Linked DNA regions of Oryzias latipes. Each later gene encodes a partner of the first gene's protein in a complex. Links are inferred from orthologs where the notes say so. Each region holds a gene or a part of one and is shown in the gene's direction. Other genes may lie near its edges.

Region 1 (3,623 bases):
ATGGTGTGGCTCAGAAATTGGAGTCTTTGTCTAACAATGTTTCTTCAAGCTGCAGAAATCTGGGAGTGAAATTTGATACCAATTTGAATGGGGAGACCCATGTTAAATCTGTGGTCAAATCTTGTTTCTGGCAAATACAAAGGTTATACAGAATAACCTCTCTCCTATCAAAAAAATGTCTTGAGATGGTGATTCATGCTTTTATTTTTTCCCGTCTGGACTATTGTAACGCACTCTACACATGTCTTTCACAGCAGAGTGTGTATCAACTCCAGTTAGTCCAAAATGCGGCCACCAGACTCCTAACCAAAACCAGAATGAGAGACCACCTCACTCCAGTTTTAGCGTCTTTGCACTGGCTCCCAGTCCATTTTAGAATAGATTTTAATGATGCATTAATAGTGCATTTAAAGCACTCTGTGGTCTGGCCCCTAAATATATAGCCGATCTCCTCATTCCTTACGTACCTGGTCGCAATCTTAGATCTTCGGCAAAAGGCCTTTTAACAATCCCACAATCTAGATTGAAGATCAGGGGAGACAGGGCCTTTGCTGTAAGAGCCCCAACACTCTGGAACAGTCTCCCTGAAGAGATCAGGCTCGCTGGGTCCCTACCATTATTTAAATCTCTTTTAAAAACCCACCTCTATAGGAGTGCTTTTAATGATTTTACCGGTTCTTAAATTTAAACATAGGATTTATTTAAATTTTTTTTTTTTTATTGATTCATTGATTTTAACTGCTATCACTGTTTTGTGTGTGTGCTGGGTTTTATTACTACATACTGTAAACTGTTTGTAATCCGGATTTTGTCTCATATTAATTGTACAGAATTTAGTAATCTCGTTTTCGAAAAGTGCTATATAAATTAAGTAAATTATTATTGGTACTTAGACTGAGGATAAAGCTTCTCTACATGTATTTTCTACATCTGAAACCAGACAAATCATTGATGTTTTGTATGATATTTTCCCTTGTGCTATTTTGTGGGGTCCAGATGCACATACCCCACAAGACAGCACAAGGGTTGTAAGAGGTAAACTTTTTAATCTCATGACATGCAGAGCTGGCCAGTGCAAAGCTCTACTAACCATTTGACAGGATGTTTATTGTGAATTTTCAGGCTTGGTCAAAAAGAGAACGAGTGCCTGCTGATAACTATAAAAACCGACGGCCATGGAACTATAGTTGTAAAACCTGACTTCAACAAAGGCCGAGAGCCCTACAGGCAAGTTTACAAGGCTTCTGTGATGGCTGAGAATGAATCCTACATTTTTTAGCGTATCATTTAACCCTTGTGCTATCTTAGATGACCCCACCCTTGCATTGACGTGTAATTCCTACCATGACAAAGGTGGATAAAGGTGGAAAGATTTCATGTAATCCATGGACACCAGTGAAGATCACAAATCATTGAAGAAAAAAAGTTCAGAGCACTGAATAGTGGGTCTAGATGACCCAACTCCCAATGGTAAAGTGCCTAGGATAGCACAAGGGATGAGTAGAATGGCAGCAGTAAGCTGCAAATCCTAAAACGATTGTATGTTTAAAAAAAGAAAAAAGCAAAGTACATTTAAAACCACAGCAAAAATAATAGAGTGAATCAGACATTTAACCGGACGTTTGTGTCGTTGGACAGGATTGTCGCTGAGGGAGAAAACCGAGAAATATGGCGTCTTACTTTTGAGAACGTATCAAAAAGCATGAAGCCAGAGGAAAAAAACAAGGAGCAGAACATGTATAAAGATGTGAGTCAATATCAGCATTTTCTAATAAACCAGGAAAGAGATTCAGAACATTTTTATTGCTAAAATGGAAGATGAAAGCTGTAATCAGGATCAACTTTGTCCCTCCTCTTTATAGCTGTATGTGAGGCACAAAGAGTTCCTCAGTGGTCTTGTTGGACAGGACTTTGAAATGGTAAGGCGTTTTTTGTTTTAAACTTTATTTTTATTGATTTTTTGTTACATGAAAACAAACCACAAACTACATTCAAAACAGAGGTCAATCCTGTGTCTATTTGTTGAAAAGTGTCCATTTTTTCCACATTCGGTGTTATTGTGACTCTTGCAGTCTCAGCCTGTATGTTATTGTTTCCGTTGAATAAATGTCGTTAATTGCTGGTAAGGCGTTTTAATGTAACGTTTTTAATTCAAATTTTCAATGCTTACCATGGTCTAAAAAAAAGACAAGTATGTTATGATCTATCAACTATATACTAAAGAGCAAATTCTTACATTTGAGGAGTTTTAGCCAAAAAAAGGTTTAAGGATTAAGGTTTAAGGATAGTTATCACTTGAGTAAATGTTGACTTGTATTTAGGTTTGTGAGCTATGAGATGTGTGTTGTTTAGCCTCCTGCAGGTACACTGCGTTACCTGATGAACGGAGAAATAGGTAAGTCAAAAGGCAGAGCTAACTTTAGCAGTTATATATATATAATACACGTTTAGAATTAATAACTACTATTTTTTTACAGTCTCAGCTCAAGGCTTTGAATATGACAACTTGTACATACACTTCTTTTTGGAATTGCCCAATAGTAAGTCTTAAGTATCAGTAGTTGTTTGATTGTTGTTTTTGCCTCTTTAGCTGTAACTGATGTTTTTCTTTCAGATTGGTCCAGTTTGCCTTCTCAGTCTCTATCAGAGGTCACCCAGACCTGTCGGACCAAGTCTCTTGAAAAGGTGTGAACGTTTTGCATACGCTTAGCTTGAAAAGCTACACAATTCCACAACAGTTTATCTAAAAAAGTCTTCAAGACTAGCAATTGCTGAGTCGACAATGAACGTCTCTGCCGAAACATACCTTTAAAAGACTGGAAAAGTAAGAGCATCAGTGTAGGAGAGTGCAGCAGAGGCTTAGTTAAAGCATAAAGCTCAGCCACAACTTGCTGTCTGTCTGCAAAATTCTGTAACTGGAAATAAAAGAATCCATAAACGGCTTTGCCACCCTGGACACACCAGTCCCCAGAAGCTAACCGGGGTAACGCCTGATTGTTTCTTTAATGAGAGATTGTCTGGGACTACTATGTGCTGTAAATGACTGCGGGCACACAGTGGGCACTCTCCAGTGTTTCCATGTGCCTGTCCCAAGTCTGGTTAAAGAACAGGGTTTGGCATCTGCTGTACAACTGAAGTCAAATGTGCAAGTCTTGACTGGGCGTCCCTTTTAAGCTAGATGCCCAAAGGAAAAAGGCCCTGTAAATGTGTAGAGACAAAAAACAAGTTTGTCAAGTGGTTGTTGCTTTAAGGTGCATCTCGGTTTTGTACTGACAATGCATTCCTGTATATTTTCTGATACTTAATGGCTTACATTTAGAAAAAAAAAAATCTTGATTGCTTGCATGTAAGAGACTAGGGAGCCGGTTTAGCTCGTGCTGGTTTGCGGCGCCTTCCGTCTGTGGAAGTTCATGTTTTACTTCGAAGCCCATCGAGACGACTGTTGTTGTGATTTTGGACTATACAAAGAAAATTGAATTGAATTGAATTGAATTGAAACCCAGGTTCAAATCCGGGCTGCTCCCTGTTCCCTTCTCTACCTCTGTGCCGGTCCCAAGCCCGGTTGCTTTGAGAGGCTTGCGTCAGGAAGGGCATCCGGCGTAAAACATTGCCAAGTTTACCAT
Region 2 (4,381 bases), on another chromosome or scaffold:
GACTTATCATACATAAGCATCCAGGCTGGTTGGATGTCAGAGATTTCGGTATTGATTCCCTCTGATCATCTCTGCATTTCCATTTCCGATAAAAGCACCCAGCCCCCACAACTCACCGGTACTCTGTCCGGGTATTTGTTGCGTATTTTGGCTGACTCCACACATCGGTGCTCTGAGGAAAGAGACAGCAAACAAACAGGAAGTCAGAGATTAAAGGGATCAGTGCGTCCTCTGGGGATTTCCTGTCTTCAGCCTTGAACAAGCACAACACAAGATGGGGGAAGTGTATGTTTCCCACTCATGATCCTCTGTTTCAGAGGAATAGTACAACATCTTCATGCAAATTCATTTCAGACACATGGATGTGCAGGGAGGATGGGAGGAGTGAGTGAGTGAGGGGAGGACTCCATCTAGGTTCATTAGCCCAGATAAAAGTTCTATCTTCAGAGGTGCTTCTTTAAAAAAAAAAGAGTCCTCAAGGTTATCCAATTACCATGAGAATGACAAGACAAAACTTCACAGAAGGATCTTATATAACACAAACTAGGCCTAATAGAAAAAAACAGTAAAAATAGATTAAAAAAAAGGTTGTTTTTTTTTAATCCACCATACTTTTTTAAGTAATGCATGCAAAATATTGAAATTAAAGCAATACTAGATGATGATGCAATGCTTTAAATGGCGTTTCTCTTGAGGTGATCCTAAACAACCTGCAGCAAATGCGTGTTAGCATGATCATGCCAAGCTAAGCAGGATCGATTTCCGGCAGGCTCCTGCGAAAACCCCGCGTTAGTGTGTCTGTGATGGGTGGTGGAGCCACATCGAAGGACACACAGTCCGCGGAGCAAAAAGGAAAAACACGCGACATGAAAAGAGGACATCTCTCTCTGGTTTCATAACAACAACCCAAACCCTTTTTACCGAGGGAATGGTCCTCTTTAAACATCCATTTCATCTTTGCTGGATTCCCGCACTGATGCGTGACGGCAGGGGCGAAAGGCGGGCTTCACGATCAGCTAACCCTGTTGGGGGTTCAAACTTGCAGAAATCCTGCCCAAAGCGACCAAAACAAAACGTCAACAAAGAGCTTCTGTTGCTCAGCTGTCCGTCTCGCGGAGAGGTGACGTCACCGTCTGGCTGTTGGTGCTCCTGGTGCGTTCAAGTGCGCCCAGCAGTGCTCGGTCCAAAAAAATCCTTGTAGTTGGGGCTGTTGACAGACACGCATTAATATCTAGTTTCTACATTAATATCCTTCTAGTTTAATGAAAACAACACCAAAGAAATACAAAATTAATACAGTCAGACTGAATAAACAATGAAACAAAAATGATACATTGAAATGCCTTAGAACGGTCATGGGCATTTATTATTAGAAACACAATTGTATAAAAAATTTTAATGCTTTTATTTGAGCTTTTATTTAAAATTAATAGTTCCCATAACAACGTAAAAAGATAATAATATATGGGAATTTTCCAGGCATGAAATGAAATAACTACTTTTGTGCTTTTACTTAATTTCAGGACCACAGAAGAGTTTCAGCATTCCCCACAGTTCATGAATGCATCCTGAACCATGGTAGCCATGGAAACCGAGGGACGCTGCAGAAATATGGCGGGGGGCTCGTTTCCTTACATGTTGCAGGGGCTAGCAAAATAGCATTTCAACGCGAAAAGTTATCAGAAAAATATGAATTTACTGGCGTTTAGAATCCAGAGGAAGATTTTTTGGAGTTTCTTAACGACCAGTTTAGGTAGTATCGACATTTTTACGCCGGTAATCATTTAGTCCGCTACTAGGTTAGCATCTCCAGCTGTAGCCTTACAGCTAGCTGTCTTTACACCGAACGTATGGCTTTCTACGAAGTGTACTCTCATCCGGCTGTAATTCGGTACAAAACCAGTGTTTGCACAAAGGCTACGCTGTTCCTGGTTGTTGTTTTGTGCCTAACCTACATCCCACCTCTGCTTGTTGCTTATAGGAGTCAAGGTACAGTATATATATCGAGGCTTTAAAGTGTCCATTTATTTCATTTTGAACAAAAGAATATATTATGTTTTTGTTAAAGTCTTTGTTTATGCTAGAATATAAAAAAAGGATTTTTATTATCTATATTACTTTACACGTTACAAAGCCTATGAGTAAAGCCAGGGCCTTTTAAATAAAGTTTTATTAGTCCAGTAAAAATAACAAATTAATAACATTTCAGCAATATTTCATTCCATTTTTACTCAGATTTATTTGATTTAGACAACAACTATTCTCTTTGAATGCATATGAATAAGCTTTTATATTAAATAACCCAAGTTTTTACAACTTTTGCTTTAAGTCTAGATATGAGTTGTTTTCAAAATGACTAAATCCATTTGTGTCTGTTGAAAGATTAGCCTTAAATCTGTTGGATGTGTTTTGATTTGATTGATGGATTTCATGCAGCTTTCAGCTCTAAAATAAAACAAAATATATACATATATATATGTGTGTATGTATATATAGTATCATTTTAAAATATTAGTTCCTAAACTGGTTTGAGAAAAATAAAATGACAGAAAATGTTTTTATACACTTGACATTACAATGTATCATAAATAGGTATATCTACACCTATTCATACAGTACACACGTGTGCAATACATTGAATCCATAAAATATTATGTTTTTTAAATAGAGTTTGATTAATTGGGTGGGAAAGAAGTGAATTTATAATCCCACACCTATTAAATTTTACCAAACTTTTTTTTTTTTGACATGTTTACAATTTTCTTCCAAATAGGTGGCCGAGCCTTTTCAGTGAATGGGGATCGCTGCAGTGGGATCTTCTGGGTCTGGTTCTTGCATCTGGGGAGTCCTGTAGTGTATTCTGTGAACTTGGGTGGGGCTCACTTGTGAGGACGGTTTATAATTTCCCCACAAAGCCGGATTTCTACTTTCTACTTTGCATCATTTTAGTGAATCATTTGATGCACTACTATAGTGTGCGTGCATGTGTGCGTGCATGTGTGTGTGCGGCGGGGGGCATTTTATGCATTGTATACATATTTTTTGTCTTGCTTTTGGTTTTTTAAAATTGGATTATGTTTTTATGTAAAACACTTTAAGTAACTCAAGTTGGAAAAACTGCTCTATAAATAAAGTTTTATTTGATTTGAATGTTTCAAATCCATTACAGGAACAGAATTTACGTTGTGTTATTTTCATGCTGGCTTTCATTGCACATTAGTGCCTTTGCTTGTAATACAACAGTAACCCATATTACCATTCAAAAATGCCCTTATTAATGCTGTGGAACAAATGTGACAAAAATGCTGCTATTTTGAACTGAATTATTCGAACATATTTGGTAAATGATGAATTATGCTTTTAAAACGTCTTCTGTAATTTTTAAAAATGGGTTCAAATGTAAAAAATGCCATGGAAAAGTCAGAAAAGTTGTTGAATTCTGGGTACATCAGATGGACATGTTTTCTGCATGACAAACCTTGTCAAGAAGCAAATTCCATTCCAAAAAAAAAAAATGAAGCAAATTCTATAGGAGATTGTGGGAAGTTTGGCTGAAGGATTCTAATAGAAATCTTATGCTATTTTATGTTTGGTTTTTGGTTTGATGGTAACATAGAATTAGAAGAAATCTCAACGTCAAAAAGTTCCTAAAACCTTATAGTTTTGTTTTTTCAATTTCAGGTTTCTGGTTAAAGCGAAGCACGTATGAAGAACAGCCGGTTGTGAGGTTTCAGTACCAGACTCTGATGGTTGCAGCCACCGGCACTCAAGGGGACTATGTGGCCTGGAGTACCTTCCCACACCTCAACAACATGCTGGGGCCCAACCTGCGGATCCCTGCCGTCTCTGTGAGAACACATTTGTGTATCACTGATATGTGTGACACTTTTTCAAGTCTTAAGAACCACATTCCTATGTCATTGTGTAAGCTGCATTTCAAAGCATTGCTCCTGTTGCCATGGCAATCTTTCATTGATTAGCCCTGATGAAAAGCTGGTCCATGCTTTTTGTTTCTATACTTTAAACCAAAACCTTAATGTGTCTAAAATATTTCTTTAAGACAAATATCTATTACCAGAAAAGTATGTTGCTGTGCGTTTACACACAAACCCATTTACCTAAAAATGATCAGAGTACAGACAAAGAGAAAGTACTTCTGTAGATCCACACACAGTTTTTGAAGAAAATATGACCAATAAGGTGTTAACACTGTGAGAAACGAGTTTTTTTTTTAAACTCAAGTCCACTTAGAATACTTACTGGCCCGCTGGGATCTTTGGCCCTTTTGAAATATAAGGTTTGTTCTTAAATCACATCACATTTTTGCTATACAGGCAAGCGTTTCAACCAAATGAACCCAGAAAGTTGTTGCTGCTTCACA
Region 3 (4,049 bases), on another chromosome or scaffold:
AGCTTAGAGTCCACTCCACCAAAACCTCCACAGAAGACTAACAGCAGCAGCTCCAAGTCCTCCTCTGGATGTTTACGGAGGTCAGGACGCGGTTGCCGTGGTTACAGAGACCATCTAACGAAGAGACCTTCCTCAAAGTGAGCATCACGGCACTAACGTGTCAGGAGGACCTCCTCCGGCGCTTACCTTCTCGTCAGGATCCTTGACCTCCACAAACATGCCCAGACCCGGGCTGGCCGGCAGGTACTCCTCCTTCTGCTTGTCGTACAGCTGCGTGCGGTAGTTTCCTGCACACAAACACAAGCGCCCCACAGTCAGTGACAACATCCGGCTGAACGCAGCACTTCCGGTCCTTGGACGCGCTGGTCAGGACCGTTGGACCCGCTTTCCCGGTTCTGCAGGAACCTCAGGGAGCGACCGGTCCCAGACAGCTCCTTCAGAACGAACCATCATCAACTCTGGTCCGGACCTCCACCTGCTGGTTCCTCCTGGAGGAGCTGCCTGCCCATTCTCCAGGAGAACCGCTTGGGTTCCTGGTCTAGGTTCGGGGAACGGGCTGGATTCTTCAGGCGGTTTGGTTTGTTATCCGCGTGCTGATAGGATGAAGTTAGCTTAAACCGTCCTCCGTTCCCCGGTAAAAGACCGATCCTACATCCTCACCAACTTCTACTACGAGGTGTTCGCCAACGTCTCCGTTCATCAAACGGTTCACTAACTACTTCTGGCGGCGTTGGGAAACTTTTTGACGGCGAACCGGAACTTTGTGAGCGTTAGCCGCGCGGCAGCTAGCTTAGCCGCTCACCGATGATCATGGTCTCGTCCGGGATCTCCTCGATGAAACATTTCTTCTCGAGCTCTCCGATGTGGAAGTAGAGCGCGGGCGCGCGGCTGCAGAAGAGCGCGAGCAGCAGGAGCGCCAACACGCACGGCTGCATGCTGATCCGGACCGAACCGTCTTCCAGCCGGAACCACCGAGCTCAGACGGAGTCTGCGCGTCCGCAGCAGTGCCACGTAAACCCTGGCGCGCCTTCGACCAATCAGAGCGCTGCGATGGCAAGCTGGGTATTGTAGTTGTGTGCTGGGCAGAGCGGATGACATCAGAACCAGATTGTGAAGGTTCCTCCTCCTCCTGGAGTCACTGTGGGTTTTTTAATTCAACTTCAAAGGATTACACATTCATGTAACTACAATAGAAAGACATAACAAAAGAAAAAAAGAGTAAGATACAAGACAAATAAATAAATAACATTAGAACCGTAGTTCAGAGAACTAGGGATTGTCATTTAACATGTGATCTTCAATGAAAATTGACAGTTTTATTGCATTTAAAATATAAACAGATCTCTTTATGAAATGTATTGAATAATGATTTGATTTGTAAAAATCTGCCTTTTATAGATGAAAAATTTCCCAAAAATTAATAAAGTATTAAATGCCAAACTAAATAAGTTATCACCAGAAACGACTCCAAATAATACAATGTGTAATACAATGTGTTTTGTAACCAAATAGAAATAAGAAAATTTGAAGAGAACCACCAAAAGAAATCCTCCCAAAACCTGTTAGTATTTATACATTTAATAAACAGATGATCAAGTGTTTCTATGTTGATGTCGCAGAAAGAACAGTTATTTTCTTTAAATGAGGTCTCTGAGGGTCCAACAGGAAACAGCAACAGAAACCCGCATGTCACGTGATTTCAGACCATTGATGATAAAAGGTAACATCGACTAATTATGTATTTAGAGTGATTCAGTGGTGAAACTGAAGAACATCCATTAATAAAATAATGTGAAATTGTTTCAAATATTAGTGTCTTCTGTTTGCTCATCCTGACCAGCAGGGGGCAGCACGGAGCCCCGCCTGACGCTGTCCAGGGAAGAAGAGCCGTTTCCATAGCGACCACAGCGGCTCAAACATGGCGCCTGGTGAGTGTTTTCTTATCATCGTCGCAGAAAGAACGGCGCAAAAACCGCAGGCCGTCTTTCCCCGTCATTTTTCTGCAGCTATCAGAGACGGACGGAAACACTTCCGGTCCGCCGTTGATTTCCGGTTAGCGGCTAAAAACATTCCCACTCGGTGTTTACCTCTGAAACGTTCTTAAACCACCGTCTAAAGCTAAAGATAATCCGGTCCAACAACCGTCACGTCTCCTAAACGCTTCTTAAGCCTCACGTTCAGTTTCACTCTCAGTTTGACAACATTTTTGTCTCACCGCGTCTGCAGGGAGCCGACCAATCGTATCCTTCTGCTGTCAGAGGGGGCGGGGCCTGTCCACCAGCCGCAGTTGTCCTTGACCACGCCTCCTCAGCTGTCCTCCACGCCTCTGCAGGTGCTGCTCTACCTGAACAGCTGGTACTTTGCCGCTTTCTACCTGGCGGAGATCCTCATGTTCATCTACAAAGGTGTGTGGCCCCGCCCCCCTGCAGGTTCACCACGGCTTCACCTGAGAATGAAGCCGAAGGTGTCGTAGAACCTCCAGCCTGTCCTCTGTTCCTCTGCTGGACGTCATGGAGGAGCGTCTGACGGTTGCTGCTGGTGTCGCTGCAGGGATCCTGCTGCCGTACCCGTCTGACAATCTGGTCCTGGATGTGGTCCTGCTGCTCCTCTTCCTCGCTCTGGAGGCTCTGCGCATCTTTTACGGTGACGCCAAACACAAACATCTGCTTTGCTTTCTCCAGAACCGCAAGTGCGGCTGAGAGGTTCTGGAGAACAAAGATGGAACATGCAGGATGAAGAGGATGCAGACGGGCCTGACATTGGTGCTGGATGAGCTAACGTCAGAACAATCACGGTTCTATGCTAGCATGGAAGTGTCAGAAAGACCAAGAATGTGGTTTTCAGATTTAAAAAGGACTTCAGAGCATGAAAGGCATGCTGGGATGTGTAAACGATGATGATGCTGGAGATCAAAGCAGGAAGAAGCTTGGTTCCGTGTGTGAATGTGTGACCTTCATCGTTGTGTTCGGAGCTCCGCCTCTGAAGGTTCTGTTGAAGCGGAACCTTCGGTGCAGAACCTCTCCACGCCCGTCTGAGCGGTGGTCCAATGAGGAGAGAGCGTTCTCACTCTTCACCTGGACGGCCTCCCAGACGGAGGTGGAGGGTTCTCCTCCTGGGTTCCAGGGTTCTGTCTGTGGAAGTGACATGACCCCCCCCCCCCCCCCCCACGCCAGAATTTATATCCAGCTATGAAAAAATGATCAGTTGTGTTTTTGCTTTCAAGTTGAGGCTAAATGAAAGTCGGTTTGAGGAGGAGTGGTTCTTCCTTGCACCAGTGGGCATGAAGGGGTTAAAGCATCTCTGCAGACGTTTGCTGCCTGGAAACATCAGACTCAAACCTGCGGCGAAGCGTTCAGCCGCTCAGGCTCTGTGCTGGTTCTCAAGGCCGGCTGCAGGCGCTGACGCTGTCCCCCTGTGTCGATTCAGGCTGGAAGGGGAACCTGTGTGAGCGCTCCCTGACCTCCTGCCTGTCGCTCTTCATCCTGGTCTCTTGTGCGGCGCTCGCCGTCTACTACCTGCTGCTGCAGACCTTCGTTCTGCGGCTGGAGTTCCTGCTCTGCGCCGTCCTGCTCTGCTTCTACGGCCTGGAGTTCCTGCTGGGATTCATCGCCTTATCTTCCTTCTCCAGGTACCCTGAGCCCGCAGGCCGGTTCTGAGAGCCGGGAAGTCTTTGACCCTCGATGTTCTTGTGCAGGTCCAAGGTGTACTGAGGACAGAAGAGCGGTTCTCTGGAGCCCAGAGGGACACCAGGACAGTTGTTAGCATATGTGCCGCTGACACAAGTTTCTGTGATTCTTCAGGGATTTTTGTAAATAAACATTTTTCTGCAGCTTTGTGAGTTCTGTGTGTCACCAAAATCAGATGAAGCCGGCCACGGGCCACTAGAACCTCCACAGGTCTGAGTTTCAGCTGGAAAACCTTTGATCTGTGTTTGCATGAAGGCTGTCCGTCCTCTTTTCTTAGGAATCACGAGGCCGTCCCTCAGCTGTCAGTGCGCAGAAACATCTGCGCAGAAACGCAGACGGGTCCATCTGCGCAGAAACGCAGAC

The links.
Region 2: mks1 (region 1) and tmem231 share a complex: the UniProt entries of both Homo sapiens proteins name them as parts of the tectonic-like complex. The link is inferred for Oryzias latipes from reciprocal best matches to the Homo sapiens genes MKS1 and TMEM231.
Region 3: mks1 (region 1) and transmembrane protein 216 share a complex: the UniProt entries of both Homo sapiens proteins name them as parts of the tectonic-like complex. The link is inferred for Oryzias latipes from reciprocal best matches to the Homo sapiens genes MKS1 and TMEM216.

Annotation. Positions count from the first base shown.
Region 1 is NC_019872.2:25,018,192-25,021,814, forward strand, and holds part of mks1 (Meckel syndrome type 1 protein), read left to right. Parts: intron 1-1,122; coding exon 1,123-1,227; intron 1,228-1,638; coding exon 1,639-1,747; intron 1,748-1,862; coding exon 1,863-1,919; intron 1,920-2,352; coding exon 2,353-2,395; intron 2,396-2,477; coding exon 2,478-2,540; intron 2,541-2,614; coding exon 2,615-2,685; intron 2,686-3,623. UniProt on the Homo sapiens protein: Component of the tectonic-like complex, a complex localized at the transition zone of primary cilia and acting as a barrier that prevents diffusion of transmembrane proteins between the cilia and plasma membranes.
Region 2 is NC_019864.2:27,556,909-27,561,289, forward strand, and holds the start of tmem231 (transmembrane protein 231), read left to right. Parts: upstream 1-1,571; 5' UTR 1,572-1,850; coding exon 1,851-1,989; intron 1,990-3,681; coding exon 3,682-3,848; intron 3,849-4,381. Other genes in the region: gamma-aminobutyric acid receptor-associated protein-like 2, read right to left, coding at 117-172, 922-955. UniProt on the Homo sapiens protein: Transmembrane component of the tectonic-like complex, a complex localized at the transition zone of primary cilia and acting as a barrier that prevents diffusion of transmembrane proteins between the cilia and plasma membranes.
Region 3 is NC_019868.2:30,553,090-30,557,138, reverse strand, and holds transmembrane protein 216, read left to right. Parts: upstream 1-1,170; 5' UTR 1,171-1,720; exon of another isoform or gene 1,721-1,843; 5' UTR 1,844-1,918; coding exon 1,919-1,928; intron 1,929-2,226; coding exon 2,227-2,240; exon of another isoform or gene 2,241-2,311; coding exon 2,312-2,405; intron 2,406-2,429; exon of another isoform or gene 2,430-2,510; coding exon of another isoform or gene 2,511-2,550; coding exon 2,551-2,643; intron 2,644-3,426; coding exon 3,427-3,628; intron 3,629-3,694; coding exon 3,695-3,710; 3' UTR 3,711-3,830; downstream 3,831-4,049. Other genes in the region: transmembrane emp24 domain-containing protein 9, read right to left, coding at 187-287, 803-935. UniProt on the Homo sapiens protein: Part of the tectonic-like complex which is required for tissue-specific ciliogenesis and may regulate ciliary membrane composition.